Linked DNA regions of Caenorhabditis elegans. The protein of the gene in region 2 interacts with the protein of the main gene of each other region in a pairwise test. Each region holds a gene or a part of one and is shown on either strand. Other genes may lie near its edges.

Region 1 (9,096 bases), on a different chromosome or scaffold from region 2:
TTTCGATATCTAGCGCATTTCTCGATAACCCAACATGCGCCAACACTTTTCATTTTTTTGATTTTCATGAAATTTCAGTTAAATTCCGAAAATATCGCTTGTTTTTCAAAAAATCACTCACTATTTATTTAAATTATCAATGAGAGTGTTAAAATCGATGCTCTGTTATGCAAAAATACCAGTTTTTTGCTTTAAAAAAGATAAAAATCATAATTTATTTGTTAAAGAACAGTTTTAAAGTTTTTCACGAGCAAAAAGATCAGAAATTCACTAGTAATTATTTTGCAGTTTTTTTCGTAGTAGAAAATAATTCAAATACACCCATAATAAATAGCTTCGTAAATCAGAATTTTATTAGCATAACCCTAAACACCAAAGTTTACAACTATTACTATTACTGAGAAGATGACATTTCCGCCACCTATTTAATTAGTCTCATTTTTACAATCCTCTTTCATTCACTCACTTGCATTCCAATTACTGATTCTATTTTCCATCTTCTTCCTCTCTTCTCATTATGCACAGAGTCTTTCTCTGGGTTAATTCGATACAATTCAAATCGTGTGTCCCGTCCCTCCAGTTGAATTCAATTCATTTTCGAATTTACCACCCCTCATTCATTCCTCCACTGGGTTTCTCTGGTCACTGTGGCGAACGAATGGTGCAAAAGGAGTCCATACATTGCGTCACACTGTCTGTGTATCTCTCGTTCAGCATACTATCTCATCGGACCGTTTCTCACACGGGGCACCTTTCCCCTGGTCATTCATTCACCCTCTGCTTGGGTCTGTTTGTCATCAGGCACATTCGTACACTTTCTTGTCCACCATTCACCCACACCATCTTTCCCACCACTCTATTTTTCTATAGATTTTACTCTGCTGCTCCAATTATCGACTTTGCCCAATTAGCCGTAGGTGTGTGGATTTTAAAAACTGTGTCATCAAGGCATCACTTTCAAATCCGTTTTACTGAGAAAGTGTCCTTGAATCGACGTTCTTCCGTTCGAAATCTTCACGCTTATGCAAACATATGGAGACAGATGTTTTCTGAAGCGATAGGGAGAAAAACGTGGGAAACAGGTGCAACAGTTGCTTTTATTTGCCAATTTTTTTTTGGTTTTTCTGCAAAATTTTCGACTATTTCTCTGCCTTTAATTTCCATTGAAAATTCCTGTATTTTTCGTAAATTTTTTGCCAAATTATGTTTTAAATTTCTCAAATTTGTACCCGAATTCACAGGAATCATTTAGAACACGATTTGTCGATATTGAAACAAAAAACTCAAAGTTAGTTGATTTTCAACAACACGAATAAGCTGAAAATTTCCGATTTATCAACATAAATCATGTGAAAAATGCAATTTTTGACTTGAACCCTACTTTTAGAGGTGAAAATTGAGGAATTTTGCAGATTTTCGGCCAGAAATAGTGAAATATCAGTTTTTTTTGTTAAAACTGAAATTTAGCAGAATTTCAAAAAGAAAAAAAAAACAGGTTTTGCATTTCACAAAAAAATGTTAAATTCTCTAAAATTGATTTTTCCTCGCCGCTGCTCTTGATTCTTCCAATTTCCGGTTCATTTTCAATTCCCCTAAATCCGGCTTTCATTTTTTCTTTTCCTTCTTCTCATCCTCACGCCTCACTTGATATCCTCAAAGTCATAGATTCAAATGTTTCTTCGTCACATTTTTGTCTCCGATGACACGCCTGATGATTTAATAATGTGGTCAAATTGATTGATTACTAGTTGGTTGTTGTCTCTTTCTCTACGAGTCGTGTACACACTGATTCCCTTCAGCCTGAGCAGGTGCATATTATCCATTCGCCAATGCTTCTCCTTTTTTTCGAGCTAACTCGCAAGGTTTTGATTAAAATTTAAATAAAAAACTTTAATCCCAAATCCAGAAATTTTCACATAAAACATTTGTGTGGCCTTTCGAAGTAAACTTCCTGCTCAACGGCATCACATTTTCTTTGATTTATTCACTAGATTAACTTTCAGTATTGAAAGCTTCAATCGAATTCAAAATGTATTGATTCGCGGCGCGGAGGTTTCTAGGCCACCGGCTGTGTACTCCTCTCGGACGGGCGATGCCATTCTTCTTATCAGTTTAAATCTTTTTTTCATCGCAAAACTTACTGATAAACTTTGTGAGTTACGTATTTAATAGGAATAATTTTCTCTCCGCTATTTTCGGATTAAATTTCCCCGAAACATTTTGCAACTGGCCGTTCGTCCTGCTGTTTGAACAGCATTCAAGTGTTGACCCCCCACAGAGTATATACCCATATGAACTGATTTATTGGTTACCCCCGATCGTTTTGCATTTATTATCCATTCACCAATGTTTCAGAAATTCAAAATTTTCTACAAGTGGCTGACTATTCGAAAAAAAAAAATAGAATAAGGTGTCAAAAAGTCTGTCAATATTGAAAAAAGCTCAGTGTCCACTTGAGTATGTTTGACTTGGAAGGTGTGAATAGCAGTTGCTCGAAAGACAATAGGAAAGGGGTTTTGTACTTTTGCACAGCATTCTGAGTTATTTTCTAAAATGAAAAAAATTATTTTTTAAACTTTTCTGTAAATTATATTAAAATTGAGAAAAAAACTATTGCTTTGATTCAAAAAACTCATAAATTAAACAATTTTTAAAATATTTTCTAGTTGCTGCAAGAATTAGATACAATTCTCACAAATCCAAAAGTTCGTAATTCTTTTAACTTCTCTTGAAACTTCTTCATTTTTTTGTGAAATCTCCACACACATCCGATTACTTTCCTTTATTCCCCTCATCAATGGCGTTTTCTCAGGTTCTCACATCGAAATTTCTCATTTTAGCTTAGTTTCAGGTTCCTCAACGGACCTGCAACCACCCATCTGAAATGGATGTGGATTGCGCAGAAACATGTAGGTTCCCCCTTGAAATAATAATTATTAAAAAAATCAATAAAATTTCAGTCTCGCAACCATGCACTCCGCTGAATTTCAATCCGATGACTCCGTCAACATCGAGAGTTTCAACACCAGTTCGGCCGTCTTCTACAATGTCTGCCAGACAATATTCAGGTGAGAAAGATATGAAATTTTGGCTTTACTTCGAAAAAAAGATTAAAAGCGGCCAATTTATGCTTAAGATTTTTAATATTCGGAAAAGAATTATTGTAATCTGAGAATTACTTTCATTTAAGCTGGAATAATTGAAAAGTGCTCCGAAAATTGTCTGAAAGTTGAGAATTGCCCGACAAAATTTTCGACAAATCATCGAAAATTTTTTTCAATTTCTCAAACTGAAACAAAAGTTATCTTCAGATAAAGCAAATATTATTTTCTACTGAAAACATGCCACACTGGCTCAATTACCGCGTACCCCTGATCTAGAATGATTGAATAAAAACTCGTTTGCATAACAATTAATCCAAGAATTTCCTGGTCGATAACATATTCCAAAAGGCCATTTCGCGCCCTTTTCTCTCTCGACCCTCTCCAATCACATCACCTTATCACTTCCCCCATTCCATTTTCGTATGTCTCGTGTGTCTATGTGTTCCCCATTGGAAACTTCCCTCAAATTACATACCTCTTTTCACATATTCATATTTCATTTTTCAGGTTCGCCGTTCAAGGCTCAACCTCAGAACATGGAACCGTCCAATTCTCGGGTGCAAGAACTCCGGGAAGCTGCTGTGGGAAAGCGATCATACACAAATGCTTGGATGCAGGGTACCTATGCACCGCCGCAGATGGCAGGACAACAACAAAGGTTTTCGAGGCCTCCGAGTGTGGTAAGAGATTTTTATAAGAATTCCGCGGCTTGAACAGATAATAAAATCAAATTTCAGATCGGCTCCACAATGTCTCACATGACGAATATGTCAGAAATGACCGCCTACTCGTACGGTGGATTGTCAATGCTCTCAGTCAACACTGAAATGGGTGAATTCAACAATTTTGTCAATCAGGCACCATATCAGCGAGCACTGACACGTGTATCGCAGGTTTCCGAGAATCAGGATCCGACGAATCGACAGTATCCGATGACAGCTCCCGAGATTATTGAGAATCTGGAATCAACGGAACTAATCAATCAAGCAGCAGCGATTCGAGCTTTGGAGCCAATTGTGAAAGCTGGTGGAATGTTGCAAACCTGGGGACCTAAAGGAGCCGAACCGATTATTCGAGCTCTGTTTCAAGTTCTTATTCCTCGGCCAGTTGAGAATGAGAATGTAAGTTTTGCATAAATGTTCGTTGAAGGTTTTCATGGTAGGTAGGAACATCGTCATCCCTAAGTGGATGCCTACAGCCTAATATTGTTTAAAAATCTAAAATCTAAATCTAAAAAAATCTTTCAAAAAAAAAAAAAAATATATATAGATGTATTAAAATATCGTTTGACAACTCCATATTTTTTGTAGGTAATCCGGAAAGCGTTTGAAATTCTCCACCACTCAATTCTTCTCTCCAACAAGGAAATCCGACGTATCGACAGGATGTTCTTCCGACTGAATGCGGCATTAATGGATCCCAATGGGCCGCCTGTGTTCAATGTACCAAAGCCATACAGTATCTATGAGATCGTGATGACACGTGCCATTCAACTTGACACGAAATTCGAGTCCAGTGCTATGGTTCTGCTCGTACATCTTTGTTGTAAACCTCATTTCATGAAGATTTTCTTTGGAGAAGATGAGACTCAACAGTCACCAGCACATCGACGTCTTCACAAAATAGTAATTGAATTTGCAATTGGAAACCTGAGAAGACCGGAAACGAAGTCAAAGAATAAGGGACTTTGTGTATCGATTATTAAGAATTTGTCGAATAAAAATGCAACTATCAAAGATATGTCAGAACGTCTTGGTGTTGTGAGCCTCTTTCATCAAATTATGCAGAACGAAGTGATCCACGAGGATTTGTTGTGGTCAACGATGCAGGCTCTTACCGTATTCTGTGGAGATGTTAAGAATGGAACACATTTTGTGCAAATGGGTGGAGCACAAGTTTTGTGCGGTCTTCTTTCGCATGGATCAACACGACTTCTTCACGAACTTCTGAAGTGTTTGAGACGAGTATCAGATTTGCCAGCGATCCAGGAGCAGGATATGAAAGAATCGATTCATTGTATAGTTCAACTTATTGGATGTTCGGATGTAACGATTGTTGAGCTAGCGACTGGAACTCTACGAAATATTGGACTTCATAACAAGATGAACAAGGCATTTATGGTGCAGGATGGAGTTACAAGTCATGCGATCGCAGTTCTTCGGACATCTGAACAGTTTACATATCAGCCACGTTAGTTTTGAAATATTCAATCTGAAATTCTAATTTACTTATTTTTCAGATGCCAATATAGATTTATATAGAAAGCAGATTCTGTCGATTTATGAAAATTGTCTATCCGTATTGAACAATGTGACTTCTATGGCACCTCAAGATATCAAAGAATCTGCAGTATCAGCGTGTAGAATGATCAGTGAGAATGCCGACTCCGCATATGTGCTCCTTCATTACTTTAACGTTGGAAATCGGAAGTGCAGGAAACTTGCGGTGACAGTAATGAAACGTGTCATTGAGACGGTTCCTGCTTTTGCTGATCCGTTTGTTGATCTACTTGGAACAACAAATGAGCCACTACCAATTTTATTGCTTCAAAGAGCATTCCAGAGTTTGGACGAATGGCGGAAAACTGTAAGCTATAAATTAAATTCGTAGAAACAAATAAATTATAATTGATTTTCAGAGCGTTGAAATGATGAATTGTGACGGTAGAAGTGCTGAGCAGAGAAGAGAATTAGATGACAGACGAAAAGATCACGAAGATATTGTAAAACGATCTGTGGGACTTTTAACGAATCTTTGTAGTCAGGCAAATCCAAGATTTTTCCACAGTTTGAAGCTAGTATTGACGTAAGTTTTTTACACTGAAAATCACAATTGAAATAATTAATTTCATTTTATTCCAGAAATGGCACGCTAAACCCCTTCCAATGGCTGACACATGAGATGAGTGACGGTATTCTGCAAGAGTGGCTAGCATTCATTTTGTCAATTTGTAGTCGTGACGAGTCACTGCAAACTTTTATGATGTACAGATTCCTGGAACAGGCAAAAATGACTGAAGCATTCTTTGCGGAACTCAAGGCTCGTCGGCAGAATTCGAATATTCGTGAGTTTTTAACTTCTGAAGAAACTAACAAAAAATACGAATTTTTAAAATACACAAACGCGAAATTTTTCAATTTTGCGCCAAGAATTACGGTAACTTTTTGTTGAATGCAAATATGTGCTTTCATAAATAGTTTTTTTTGTAAAAAATATACGTTTCAATTGAAATATTTGGGGGTTTTGTGAATTATTATTTATGAAAACCTATGAACAATCTATGAAAATTCAGCAGAAACTAAAATTTCATAATGCAGGACTTTTAAAGGCGCACACCATTTTGCATTTAACAAAAGCTTGTCGTGTCGAGACCGGGTACTGTATTTTTGGCGCAAAATTTAGCTACTTCCAGAACATTAAAAGCCTCTTCATTTCTATCACTGCGATAAAAAAAATTACAACCGTGTTTAGAAATTTTATAAATTCTGAAATATGAAATTTTTTATTCCCATAATTCCCTTTTACAATTCACGATCTATTTCAGAAACTATGTTGTCAAAGATCATCGATCTTGGTAGACATCAGCAGAGAATAGTTTCACAACAACATCAACAGCATCAAATGCAGCATCATCGACAACTAATGTGAATGAATCTTTGTGCGGGTACAGAATTCCCTACTCCCGGTGCACAGACACACAATCTCAATCAAATCGATCTTCCAGTTTTATTCATGTGCTATTATATATTTATCTTCATTCCATCCCCATGTTCCCTTATGTAGTTTCACATCAAATACCCACTTCATTTCGTTGTTCTCATTATCAGTATTTGGAGCATATCACTCCCCAATCTAATTAGTTTTTTCCCATCTATCCGTATTATTTGTTGCTCACTTCATTTCTCCAACCATCTCTCAATTATCTCATGTTCTATTACAAGTGCGAACTCTTTTCGACAATTTGATAACGGGCCCTTTTTTTTCGTCTATCGTGTATATGAATTATTTATTAGACTTTAATCTAGAAGACACAAGAAGATTCATCTAGAAGACACAAGAAGACGGACAAAAATTATGATGTAAATCAGAGAAGAGATCAGATATGAGATGAAGGAAGCAATGCGCCAAGCACGATCACCACCAGTTTCAACTGTGTGCACACCATTCGAAAACGTGTAGCAGTGCGCAAAGATGGCGCCAGTCTGAAAAATTGTAAAATTTTGTTACTTTTTTAGAGGATCGCTGGATACCCAAAATAAGATCTGAAGCAGGAAGTGGGCAAAGACGGAAAATGTATTCGGGGCACAAATGATGAACAGGGATAAGCCGACAAGAAGAAACTGAAATATTGAAAAAAAATTGCCACGTGTCACATACATACAGGCGGTCTCACTTCAAAGACATACCACCACGGCTACGAATTTTTGACAAGCAAAATGTGCAGGGTCAGAATGGCACAATGAATGAGTGCCATCATGATGAACCACACATAAACTGGCATACAGAAGCATGGATCTTGCGCAGTGGCTCCTAGCTCAGATCCCGATTGAGCTCTGCCACGTGGTTCCTCTGGGCGTTGGGTCCTAGATATTGAAATTTTATTGGGATTTCAGAACTTGGTTAATTCGATTGAAAACCTAGAAGTCGATGGACTCACTCAATATCGCGATTACACTGGTTCTCAAGCATATTATTCAGACACTTTATTTGAGTTAAAACTTAAAAATACATTTCATTTGTATTATTTTTCGATTCACGTGTTTTCATTATTTAAATATTTTTTGCGGAAAAATATTTCAACTAAAACACTTTTTGAATAACGCGCGCTTTTCTTGCGGGTTTCGCAACGATTACAGTACCCCACTGAAAATTTTCAAGGCGCGATTATGATTTTCGGAAGTTAGTCTTGAAGCGACTTTACAAAACATCTTTGATCTAGACTTTGACCCACCGTTATTCTTAGCGGGAAAATATAAATTTTCGCCCAACCCTAACTTGATTTCTTTCATTCACGATGCGGTTTTGTTTTTTCTTCTACGCCTTTTTTCCATCTTTTCATCAAATTTAAAATTTTCAGGCTATGAGCCAGCAACCCGGATCCGCTCGACGTGTGAACTTCCCAGAGGAGCCAATGTAAGAAAATTAGATTTATTTCATATTTAAGTTTCTTCAATTTCAGGACGCTGGGAGAAAAGTTCAGCCATCGAATGGATCAGTTAAAGGAAATAATAGCCGATGGAGGTTGCTCACGTGCTGCAAAGGTTGGATGATGATCCGGATTAACTTTTTTAATTAATTATTTCAGTGCGTGTCAATCACCGTTTGCCTGGTTCTGCTGGTTCTCATTTTTGGTGGCGCGATCGTTTACCTCGTCATGTCACTGACTTCTTCTGCTCAGAAAATGTCAGCCGATAGTATGGATATCTCTCCACAAGCTATTCGTCATCCGAAATTCTGGCCTCCAACCGACAAGATTCGTTTTGATGATCTCAATGGAATTCCAATGACTTCTTTGTTCCCTCAAAACGTCTCAACATGTTCTGGATTCGGATTCGCATGCACCGGGGCAGTTCACATGGTTATCCCGTCTTCGAAACGATGCGATGGAAGAAGAGACTGCGAGGACGGCTCCGATGAGGAAAACTGCAAAGAGTGTCAGTCAGTGTTCTCCTGCAAATTGCGTCCTGAAGAAGAGTCCAAAAAGAAGGGAAGATCTACCGTCCAACCAACACTCATCTGTCTGACAGCTCAACACCTTTGCGATAATGTCGAAAACTGCCCGGATGGCTCTGACGAGGCTGTCTGCAAGTCTTCTTGCTCCAAAGATCAATTCAAGTGTCCTGGAAGCAATGCTTGTCTTCCACTCTCAGCCAAGTGTGATGGGATCAATGATTGCGCAGATGCCAGCGACGAGAAGAATTGCAGCAAATGCCAGAATAACGCTCACGTATGTTCAGTTTTGTTTTTATGCTTTAAATTTATATTTTTCAGA
Region 2 (10,003 bases):
TGAAAATCCTGTATTTTTCTTATAGCGTTGCTCCATCACTTACGATTTTTCTTTTAAAGTTTCACACAAAATTCCATCAAAACATATACATAAAATTTTAGTTTCCACAAAAAATATTCAAAACAATATTATCGAAAAGAAATAGGGATTGCTCCTGAAATAAACAATTTAACAATAACATTTCATTGAATACTATTAAAAGATTACGAAATCTGCAGGATGGGTTGTTTTTGAACTTTTGAAATGATTTTTCGTATATTTTAAACTTGAAGAAATTTCATGAGAACTGAGCATGTTGTAGTTTTTATACGATATTTATCAGTTTACTTACAGTATTTCCTCTACTAGGTGCGTACTCTATGAAATGATTGCGCCCCTATTAGTCTTGCACCCCCAATAAGCTCATCAAAAATTTCTTTTGCAGGCCCTAATAGTCCTGCATTTATTTTTTACCAACCAGTGGAACTTTAGGTAAAATTCAGCAATTGTTTTAGAATTGGGGTAAAACAAACTTTGAAATGTTCAAACGACTGAAAAAATAATGGAAAAGTACGTTTTTTATGGGTTTAGTATTGCACCCCAACAAGATAATCAAAAATTTCTTTTGCAGACCCTAATAGTCCTGCATTCATATTTTACCAACTAGTCGTACTTTGTGGGAAAACTCAGTAAATTTGTCAGCATTGGGGTAAAATAAACTTGGAATAATTGAACGATTGGAAAAAAAATGATGAAAAATTACGTTTTTTCATGGCTCCAACGCCGTAAAATCACGTTTTCTTGATTTTGCATCATTACGGGCAGATCGGAAAATAGTCTTCCTACAAGACTAATCAAGGGAATACGGTATAGGATTTCAAAATTAAAAACCAATCAATTTCTGTGTTTCACTGCTCTATTTTTGAAACTGTCCCGAAATAACTTGTATTGCTAAAATCAAATAACCAGATAATGCTATAACATATGTTGCTGCACAATTTTCTTAAACCTACACAAAAAAACAATTATTGTAAGCATCTACAAATTCAAGCTTTTGATCCCTTCCACTGTTCCAACATTAACCTAACTTTATTGTATGATTTTCTCATGCAATACCAGAACCATCGTAATCGATTTGCCGAATTTCATGACATCTTCCTTTCCTCCTTCATCTAACTGCTTCTCTCGATTTTTTATGCGTGTAGTGTGTCTTCATCTCCTTCTTTCAGAATGATGTCTGCGCAAGTTGAAAAACTGCAGAATCGTCGGTGCGTGTGAGGGTGGGGGTACCTCTCATTTTCTTTCTTTGATCGACCAAAAAAAAATGGAAAAGACGAAGAAGACATATAAAACCAGTTCGGTTAAATCGTTGGGCCTCTCCGTGGGTGGTGGAAGAAAAAAGCGTAGGGAGACAAGGGGCTTTGATTTTTTTCTCTTCTTTTTACCTATAGGTGGAATATTTATTGTCATTTTTTAAGGTTCAATAGTTACAAAGAAGACGCAGAATCGAAAAGTAACCATTCACTTTTTTTCGTTCTGAAAGTAATACTCCTATATGGCAACTGACACAAAATATAGGAAAAACGCCCTTTGTAGACAAGGCGAGGAAAATAAAGGGCAAAAATAGACAGATAAGTGGGAAAAGTACTTTCACATCCAGAGTGAACTGTACTCACTCTACAAAGTATTTAAGTTTAAAAGATTGGTCTTAAAAATTTTAAACTAAAGTCTAGTTTTCTGAAAGTTTTCAGAACCAAATAAAAACCAAGTCTTATTTTTTTAAATCCACAAAAACCTGAAAGTTCATCCTACAATCGCAATACTTCATTTTAATATTTTTTGTAAAAGTATTTCAAATAATTTAAAATTTCAATTTTTATATACGATCTGCACATACAAAACAAGTGAGGTGTGTTGATTGATCAAAATCAAAGAAAAAAAGAATAATAAAACAACCAAACATAAAAATCCATAAAGAAATAAAATGGGGGCGAATTCAGACAAAATACAAATATATTAATTGCATGTAAAACAATTATCCGTTTTGCAGAAGAGAACAGTCTTAAAGTTTTGGGAAGATGAGAAGAGTTCGGCAGAGAACGTTTTTTCGGAATTTTCAGATTTTTGTTGGGAGAAACAATAATAATAATAAAGTGCCAATTTTGATTGGCTCGTGACCTAGGAAAATGGGTTTTGAGAGGAAAGATTTTTGAATGAAAAAAAAATAGAGCAAAATACATTTAAAAGCTGTGAGGGTTTGGGCACTAGGATACACAGATATTGAGACAAAATGAGAATTGAAAAAATGCAAATGATTTAAATAAAGTACAACCGACTAAAAGCTGACACAGCACGAAAAATGCAAGATATTCAATAGATCTTGAAGAAAATGAATTGAAATGCATGGATGGAGGTTTTTGAGGTATAAAATGATATTGATATTATAAAGTTGAATAAGTGAAATAAGGGAATTATGCAGAAAATACTGGCTGTCTGTAATTGACAACAGAAAAAACCGGTCCCGTAAAAATGGAAGAGTTGAGCGAGATCGCTAAACAAAGGGAGTTGCTGACTGACTCCATTGGAAGTTTTCAGCTCCTATGACAGAGACATTATGATGCCATGTACGGCACAGCAGTGTATGTGGCTTGTGGGGTTGGCAGTTGGATTGCTGGGACCTGAGTGATTGCGGTGACGCTACTGCTAGCCGATCGGTTGACAGTAGTGCGAATCATTTCAAGAACCAAGGAGGCTTCCGGAAAGAATTGCTCCCAGTTCGTGGGGCAGTTTGAATGAAGGTTCCATAAGTACCGTAGTGAGTCGTAAGCGAGTCGTCTGAAATTAGAAAGAATAGATTGTAAGAAGTAATTAATCGACTTATTCATATTTCCCAATGCATATTCATAAGTCAAGTTGTTTTCTGTCTATTCATATGTATTTAGTAAAGATTCTCTCCCCGTTCTTAGTGCCACCTGCTGCGCAACAATACCGTATACATATTGTGCCCCGTTTTCTAATCTGTTTCCTTCTCCTCGCGCACCTATCCAACCAGAATAAATGAGCCTTCCTATTATAAGTTTTTTTCTCCACTCTTCCGATGCTTCTCTTCTCTCCCCAATTCTTTGTCTCCTGTATACAACAAGTTTTTGGAGGGAGAGATGAGCACTAATTATACGGCAACGTTGCTAATTTGTGTGGAGGCGAGGGGAAAGATTGATTTGTGATGGGTTTTTACGAAGGCCAAAGGTTTACCTGATTTGTTCGAAAATTTCCAGAAAGGCGGTAGTACATCTCACTTCACGCCAAGATTGGAGTACTCGAGATCGAGCAGTAGAGACTGCTGGGAAAGAGTCCATTGATTGGTCAAAAAGGGCTAAGAATCGGAAAGCACAATAATCGAAATTCGTGAATCCCATATTTCGAAGCCGAATAACAACATCATTCCATGATGATACGAATGTTTGATTGCCAAGAAGAGCTACAAGACCGACGGGAACTCTGCAAAAAGAATACGATTTTATAGTGGTTTATTGGGCCTTAAAAGGTCTTGAACTTTTGAAAGACCACCGGCTCGTTTTCACAACAATTACGTAACTAAAATGGTAGCCTAATCCTTATTAGAGCCTATGCCGGTAGTGGGAAAATGCGCAATACTTTATACGATGAGCTCGCGGGACGAAGATCTTATCTGGTGCCGAGAATCAAGACTTGCGTCATGTCGGCACCCAATGTTGCGAGAGGCAAAAAAGGTGGGTAATCGAGATAGATGAGTCAAGATTTATCGCCAAATCTTTATAGCCTAATCTTATAGACGCCGCTGTCAGATCGGTTTGTTTATAGTAGTTGTGTTGCGTTGGAAGTTGATTGACTCATTAAATAGCCAGAATCAAACGTTCCACAAAAATTGTTTCCGAGCCTTAGGAAGAATGGAACTCAAAGAAATTTTAACAACTTACTCATCACCATTTGACATTTTATACTGCGAAAGAAGATTTCCGTGGACCATTGCATTAGTGATATCAACGATATGAACGGTTGTCCACGATGTTTGCAACAGAATCATTTGGTCATCCAACTGGAATAAATGCACTTTAGTAAATCTTCAACCAATTACTTATCACACTCAGGATATAAAAAGGTTGCGGTGCAATTACTCCTAGTACATAATGGGTGTCCGTAATGAAAACAATAGAGGTGTGTTTGTATGGGGATGTACCTTTTGAGAAGGAGCGCCTCTTTTTATAGCGGCGATTGTTTCTTTTGATCACCGGAAGCGAGCAATTTATCTACATTATTCCCATCTCATCAGGGTGGGAAATAGAGAATAAAAATATTAGAAAAAAACCGCTGGTGGGAAATGAGAGTGCCTAGATTATTATATTGTTGTATGTATTATTTTACCGATAATTTGCTGAATAGTTGATCATTTTTTGCCCAAATCACGATATCTTTCAAATTTTCCTCTGCGACTTGAATGGAAAATGCGTGCTTTTCAGGTTTGCTAGTTCCTTTTACGCTTGTGAAAATTCGAGCAATTTGAGCATCATCGGGTAATGTTTTGCACATTTCGGCGATCGAGCTGTTGTAAAAGTGGTCCACCGTTTTTTCAGTTGGTGCTGGGCAAAGTGGGAGAATTGGTGATGTGCTGCTAGCTTCTGTCATTCGGCCAGTTGTTGCTGAAATTAAGTAATGTTAACATTTCAAAAATTAAAAAAAAACTTAATCAAAAATTTGAAATGTTGAAACTATAAACTGAAGACAAGAAAAAGCGATAAAAAAACTAAAACTTACTAGAAGAAGTCGAAGTGACCAAGGATTGTGTGCTGGAAACAGTTGTCATTGGCATCATTGTAGCATAATTGGTAGTGTTGCTGGTATAAGTTGGATAGTCGTGCAATGAGTGATGAATGAACTGCTCCGAATAGTCAAATGGCTCCTGTTTGACTTCATTCAACTGATAAGCTGCTGGGAAGGTATGCCTGAGAAGTGGGTCGTCAATTGTGCTCCCAAGAAGTACTGCCAAGCTGTCTTGTGGGTCAACTAAGTATCCAGGTCTCATGATAAAATCGGAAACAGAAACTGAAATTTATAATTTGATGCTATTAACAACTCCAGAAAATATTCTTACGCTGCTGATTAGTGCTACTGGACAATGTTGGACTCTGGAGATGTGCATCATACTCAGTTTTGATATATTCAGTTTTGATTTTAGTTTGGTCAAAATAGTTGATTTGGTTGTTCTGGTCAGTTGTGCTGAAATATGAGATTGATAAGTTGAAAGAAATATAAGAAATAAAGCTCACCTGCTTGAAACCTGGTGCTCTGGAGGTTGATAGAATGTTTGTGCTTGTGATTGTGCTCCAAGGACGGCTGGAACTTGCACTGTGCTCACTCTCATTGCGTTTCTCTGCATACGATGAGCCCGATCCTTCTTATAAAACGATCCGAACTTGTTTCGTCCACCTCTCATCCTATCGGCACGCACCGCTACAAAACATAGTCATTATCCAAGTGCACACACTCATTTCGATGTTCCCCCTTCAATTTACAGTTCCCCGTTTGTACCCGCCAGATGACTGTACACACGGCTCATTTGATCTGGAGTAGAGTGGGCAAGTGCAGTCATTTTTGCCGCAAAACATGCGACACCCTGCAATTGAGATCCTCACGAAAAACGCGCCGCAATGAATGAGTTCGGCACTTCATGTTTTCCCAACAAAGGTACTGTTCAGCACCTATAATTATCGAGCCGGCTACTATTGTTTTGCACTTTTACTACTTCCCCGAATGCCAATAGTTCTTTTATGATGCACCGGATGTCCTAATAAAACTTCACTGAACTTCAGTTGTTTTCCAAGGTGTTGCCTCACTTTTCTCCAACATTTGAAATGGTTGCGCGCCTGCCATAGAGCGTTTGAGATGCGCGCCTCCACCCCCAGGTCTCCAGGTACCGGTTTTTCGGTGACTGTCAGATCTATTCTTCTCTTCCACTCTCACCGTTTCATATCCAATTTTGCATCTCTCTTTTCAATATATCGTTTTTGTTGTCATGCAAAAACGAAACGAAAAGAAAAACGAGAGAGAGAGAAACATGTAACAGAGATGAAAGAAAGGAGAAGTAGAAATCCACAAAAAGTGTAAGCCTTGCGCGATGATTACGTGGAACAAGCTTATGACGCTGCTTAAAGTGCAAATTCAAAATTTTTATAGAGATGGACTTTCGATAACGGTTACATCCCTTATTATCCCATCAATCAAGAAGTCAGCACAGTATGTGCTCTTACAGAAGAGCGGTTGCGCTCTTTTAGATATGATAGATATCTTACCTTCCATTTTCATTCCCATTGTGAGGCACTTCTGGAATCGACAGCTTGGACACCTCTTCCGGCAAGTACGATCCACGTGGCAGTTGGCTTCGGCAGAGCATTGATATTGCTGAAAGAAGGGACAAATTGGAGAAAGTCGAAAACAATACTTAGATAACATCAGCTACAGTGTTATATTTTTATACATATGTATGTACTCACCTTCTTGTTTTGAACAGTGCGTTTGAAGAAGCCCTGTAAAGAGAAAATTATTGATGGAGAGAATGAAACAATAAATGGAAAAAAAAGAATCAAATGAAAAACTAGAGATGACCGCCCGATGAGGGTCATATGGCAACAAGTGAATGATTTTGGCGGTGAGAGTTGTCTGTCCTTGAAGGGCTCGAACGTGTCCCTGAGTCGGGACTCTCACTAACTACAAATGACCTTATCATTTTGCCACACACCCACTTTTTTCCCGCGGAAAAAAAGTGAAGACATCTAAGACTAACCTTGCAACTTTCACACGTCAGAAGGCCGTAGTGATATCCAGAGACTCGATCACCACAAACCGGGCACATCTCGCCTTCATGATTCGGTCGCAGAACCATCCTCTCGACGTCAGTCATTTATTTCTGGAACAGATCTCGGATTACTGTATGTTCGAATGAAATTGAAAACAGAAAAATGAATTTGAGAAAGGGATAGCTGAATGGCACAAGGTATGAAGGACCTGTCCAAGGATGGCACGGTACGGAAGAAAAAGTAGGCGGAGTCGGAAAAGTGAGAGTAAGTGGTTCGCTGCCGTGTGGATCTCTTGGGCCGGTCGATCTCCTCCCACCACACCACTGGCGGCATCAGCGAGCCTATCGTTGGATGTCTTTGGTTGTCTCGCACCCTCCACCATGCTCTACCCGAGGGGACCTACATACCGTAAGACACACCCGCTCGTCTTCTTCGTCCACTAAAATCCGCCAACGGCTACCTATGTATAGAAGAGAGTCGTAGTTGAAGGTCGACGCGGAGGCCTGAAATAGTGAACGTCGATGGGAGAGAAGGGGATGATCGAGAGGGAAAAAATGATGAAAAAAAGGAAGAGAAAAGAAGAGGACGTGGGGGTCTTCTTCTTCTTGACGGGAGGTAAAGAAAAACGATCGACGACGACAACGGAGAAAGCAAACGTGTGAGTATGGCAATTCAGTGGCGTATCGTCAGGGGTCGTGCCAGGCACCGCTACAGTTCGTTTTTTGCCCAGTAACTTCAACTTGAATATCTCTTGTTCTCTCTGCGCAGCGCGCGAAAACCGCAGGGACGGTGGGTCTCGATTTTTTATAGTCTCACTTGCTGCCCCCCGGGTGGGAAAAGGAGATTTGATTTTCTTTGCATTGTTCTTCATTTTTTTTCTTCGTCAATTCACTTATATTACCTACCTAGACTGCTTTGATTCATCGCCTACCCTAAAAGTCGCCTCCACCCCTTTTTCTCGCTATCTACATTTTATTACGCAATCAGCCGGTTAAGAGGAGATATCGAGAGATAACGTAAATAGGACCATATAAGTTAGCCTGGGAAAAAGATTTTTAGAAGCGCCAAATAAAATAAATTTTTAAAACAAAATAAAACAAACTCGACATATGCTTGTATAGAAAAGCACTTCCGGTTAAAAACTATCTGCTTCGATATGATAGAAATTATCCCAACAAGGAAACCGCTTAAAAATGAATAGTACAAATAAGACAAATTATCAAAATCGAAGTCAAATGTTACTAGATGTTACCAGTATAAAAATTTGTCATCCTGTTCTCTACGTCTGAAATTTCGCATCTAAAAACTTCTACTGAATCTTGATGATATCTCACCGTGCAGAATTGGTTTTTGGACATTTTTTTTATTAAAAAAAGGGCGGGGCGCTGGGTGAAACTTTTTTCGCTCAAAAATGACCGAATTAAAAAAAAAAGTTTACAGGTTATTTGAAGCTTAAAAACATTAGGTTCTAAACGTGTGTACTAACAATGAAGCCAAATTGAGATTAATTGAGATAGCTCATCGAAAATATTTCAGAGAGTCAAGACAGGAAATTATTTTCTAAAAAATACTGAACAATAAAAAAGTTATTCTCGAAAAATGCACAAAAAGCAACATGCTCAGCTAAGACTAGAAACGTTATTTAAAAAAAATAGAATATAAAATTTCGTCAAAATATTGATAGTTCTTAGATTAAAAAAGTTATATTCTCATTTTGAGCTGGTATTTCAACAAAGTTTAGATATTTAACAATGTATATTGTAGAAAGCTAATCATTTTTGCATAATTATGATAACGTCATTATCAAAAATTGAATCGTCTGGTTAAATTAAAGGTATGCCTGTTAGGTTTAAATAGTTTTTAATCTAAATTTAAAATAGGTTTTTCTATATTATAAGTTCAAAACACGTATTTTATTGGTTTTCGTATTAAACTTTCCACAAATACTTAGGAAAAAAAGGAAAATAAAATATGGCAATGACTATATCCGGGATTTTGTATATGTATGAAATAGTTAAAGGCGCTATAGACATCATCAGTGAAAATATGATAAGATAAGTGCAAGTCGGGCAAAAAAAAGAAAGGGCTGCGCAACAACCGGAGACAGTGTAATATTGCAGAAAAATTGGAAGTATGTCAAATGACGCCTTTAACAAAATTTTGAATAAGCTATGCATATGTTTCAACTAAGCTCAATCAGATAAGAACAGTATCAAATTTCAGTGTGAGGTGCGCAACAATACTTCCAGATGTAAACATTTGGCGAGATTGATGGAGAAATCAGAGAGATAGAGATAGAAGATGAATGTACAAGGAATTCCTGATCAAAGAAGAAAATTTGCGTTGGCATGGTAGAATGGAGGAGGAAAGAAGGGTGTGAAAAAACAGTAGCAACACGAGGAGAGAGAGAAAGATATGGAGTGAAATAGGTGAAGAGAGGGAGGAAAATAAGAAAAACTTGCGGCGCCGGGGGCCCGCCGATGAAAATGTCCCGCATTTGGAAAATGGCGCGGATAAAAGAGACAATATTGAATTGAGAGACAGACCGTACGGCATCTGCTGGATTTTCTTACAAAAGAGTGTTGCGTTTTCATCAACTTATTTTCGCGCGGCGTGGTGTGGTGTTGCGTGATTTTTATTTGGCGCAAAGCTGCTGACTATTAACTAATCAAATGGCGCTTGGGAACCGAAAAATTGCAAAGACAAGACGAAGAAGAAAGTCAGAAGCCATTTTGCTGTGACAAATAGGCACGTGACACCGCTGCGTCAAACCTATGTGGATTAGACGAAGCACAGTAAAATGTGTTATTGTTGATATAAGTTACAGATCAGTGAAGAGATAAAAAATTTAAAAAAAAAGGGCTTCGCCAGCCAATTTCCGTAACTCCTGGATATGGCTGAAATGTAAATTCTAACGTGCAAATGTCGGAGAGTAAAAATTGAAAATTGACTCTTCTCGGTTTTTTTTCACATTCTGAAGCCACTGTGACAGTCTTACCCACATCATCAACATACCATCACAAAAAAAACCTGTCCGATGGTGTCGCCCCACACTTTCATACTCACGCACGCACTCCCGTGGGAGACACGGGAAAAAACGAGGTAACGCGCCGCCCACTTTCTCTAAATTGGGAAATGGAGTCTAGACACTTTCAGATTCAAAAGTTTCATGACAAAATATGGCACCTTTTTTC

What was found.
Region 1: the proteins of nhr-25 (region 2) and wrm-1 interact in binary tests that used the Caenorhabditis elegans proteins (3 or more experiments, as listed by UniProt).

What each region holds. Positions count from the first base shown.
Region 1 is NC_003281.10:5,719,999-5,729,094, forward strand, and holds wrm-1 (Armadillo repeat-containing protein wrm-1), read left to right. Parts: upstream 1-2,851; 5' UTR 2,852-2,884; coding exon 2,885-2,909; intron 2,910-2,960; coding exon 2,961-3,068; intron 3,069-3,611; coding exon 3,612-3,784; intron 3,785-3,841; coding exon 3,842-4,225; intron 4,226-4,414; coding exon 4,415-5,294; intron 5,295-5,343; coding exon 5,344-5,690; intron 5,691-5,742; coding exon 5,743-5,909; intron 5,910-5,965; coding exon 5,966-6,168; intron 6,169-6,648; coding exon 6,649-6,752; 3' UTR 6,753-7,117; downstream 7,118-9,096. Other genes in the region: LDL receptor repeat-containing protein egg-1, read left to right, coding at 8,185-8,237, 8,284-8,365, 8,410-9,051, 9,096-9,096. UniProt on the Caenorhabditis elegans protein: Antagonistic role in the Wnt signaling pathway that operates in embryogenesis. When located at the cortex it has been shown to inhibit Wnt signaling during asymmetric cell division but when relocated to the nucleus it shows positive regulation.
Region 2 is NC_003284.9:13,005,802-13,015,804, reverse strand, and holds nhr-25 (Nuclear hormone receptor family member nhr-25), read right to left. Parts: upstream 7,313-10,003; 5' UTR 7,217-7,312; intron 6,920-7,216; 5' UTR 6,914-6,919; coding exon 6,797-6,913; intron 6,788-6,796; exon of another isoform or gene 6,585-6,787; intron 6,540-6,584; coding exon 6,507-6,539; intron 6,415-6,506; coding exon 6,306-6,414; intron 6,034-6,305; exon of another isoform or gene 5,892-6,033; intron 5,699-5,891; exon of another isoform or gene 5,516-5,698; intron 5,467-5,515; coding exon 5,283-5,466; intron 5,233-5,282; coding exon 5,108-5,232; intron 5,059-5,107; coding exon 4,771-5,058; intron 4,656-4,770; coding exon 4,381-4,655; intron 4,055-4,380; coding exon 3,936-4,054; intron 3,478-3,935; coding exon 3,232-3,477; intron 2,815-3,231; coding exon 2,592-2,814; 3' UTR 1,843-2,591; downstream 1-1,842. UniProt on the Caenorhabditis elegans protein: Orphan nuclear receptor and probable transcription activator, required during development. Plays a role in male tail tip morphogenesis regulating the expression of the transcription factor dmd-3 in a negative feedback loop.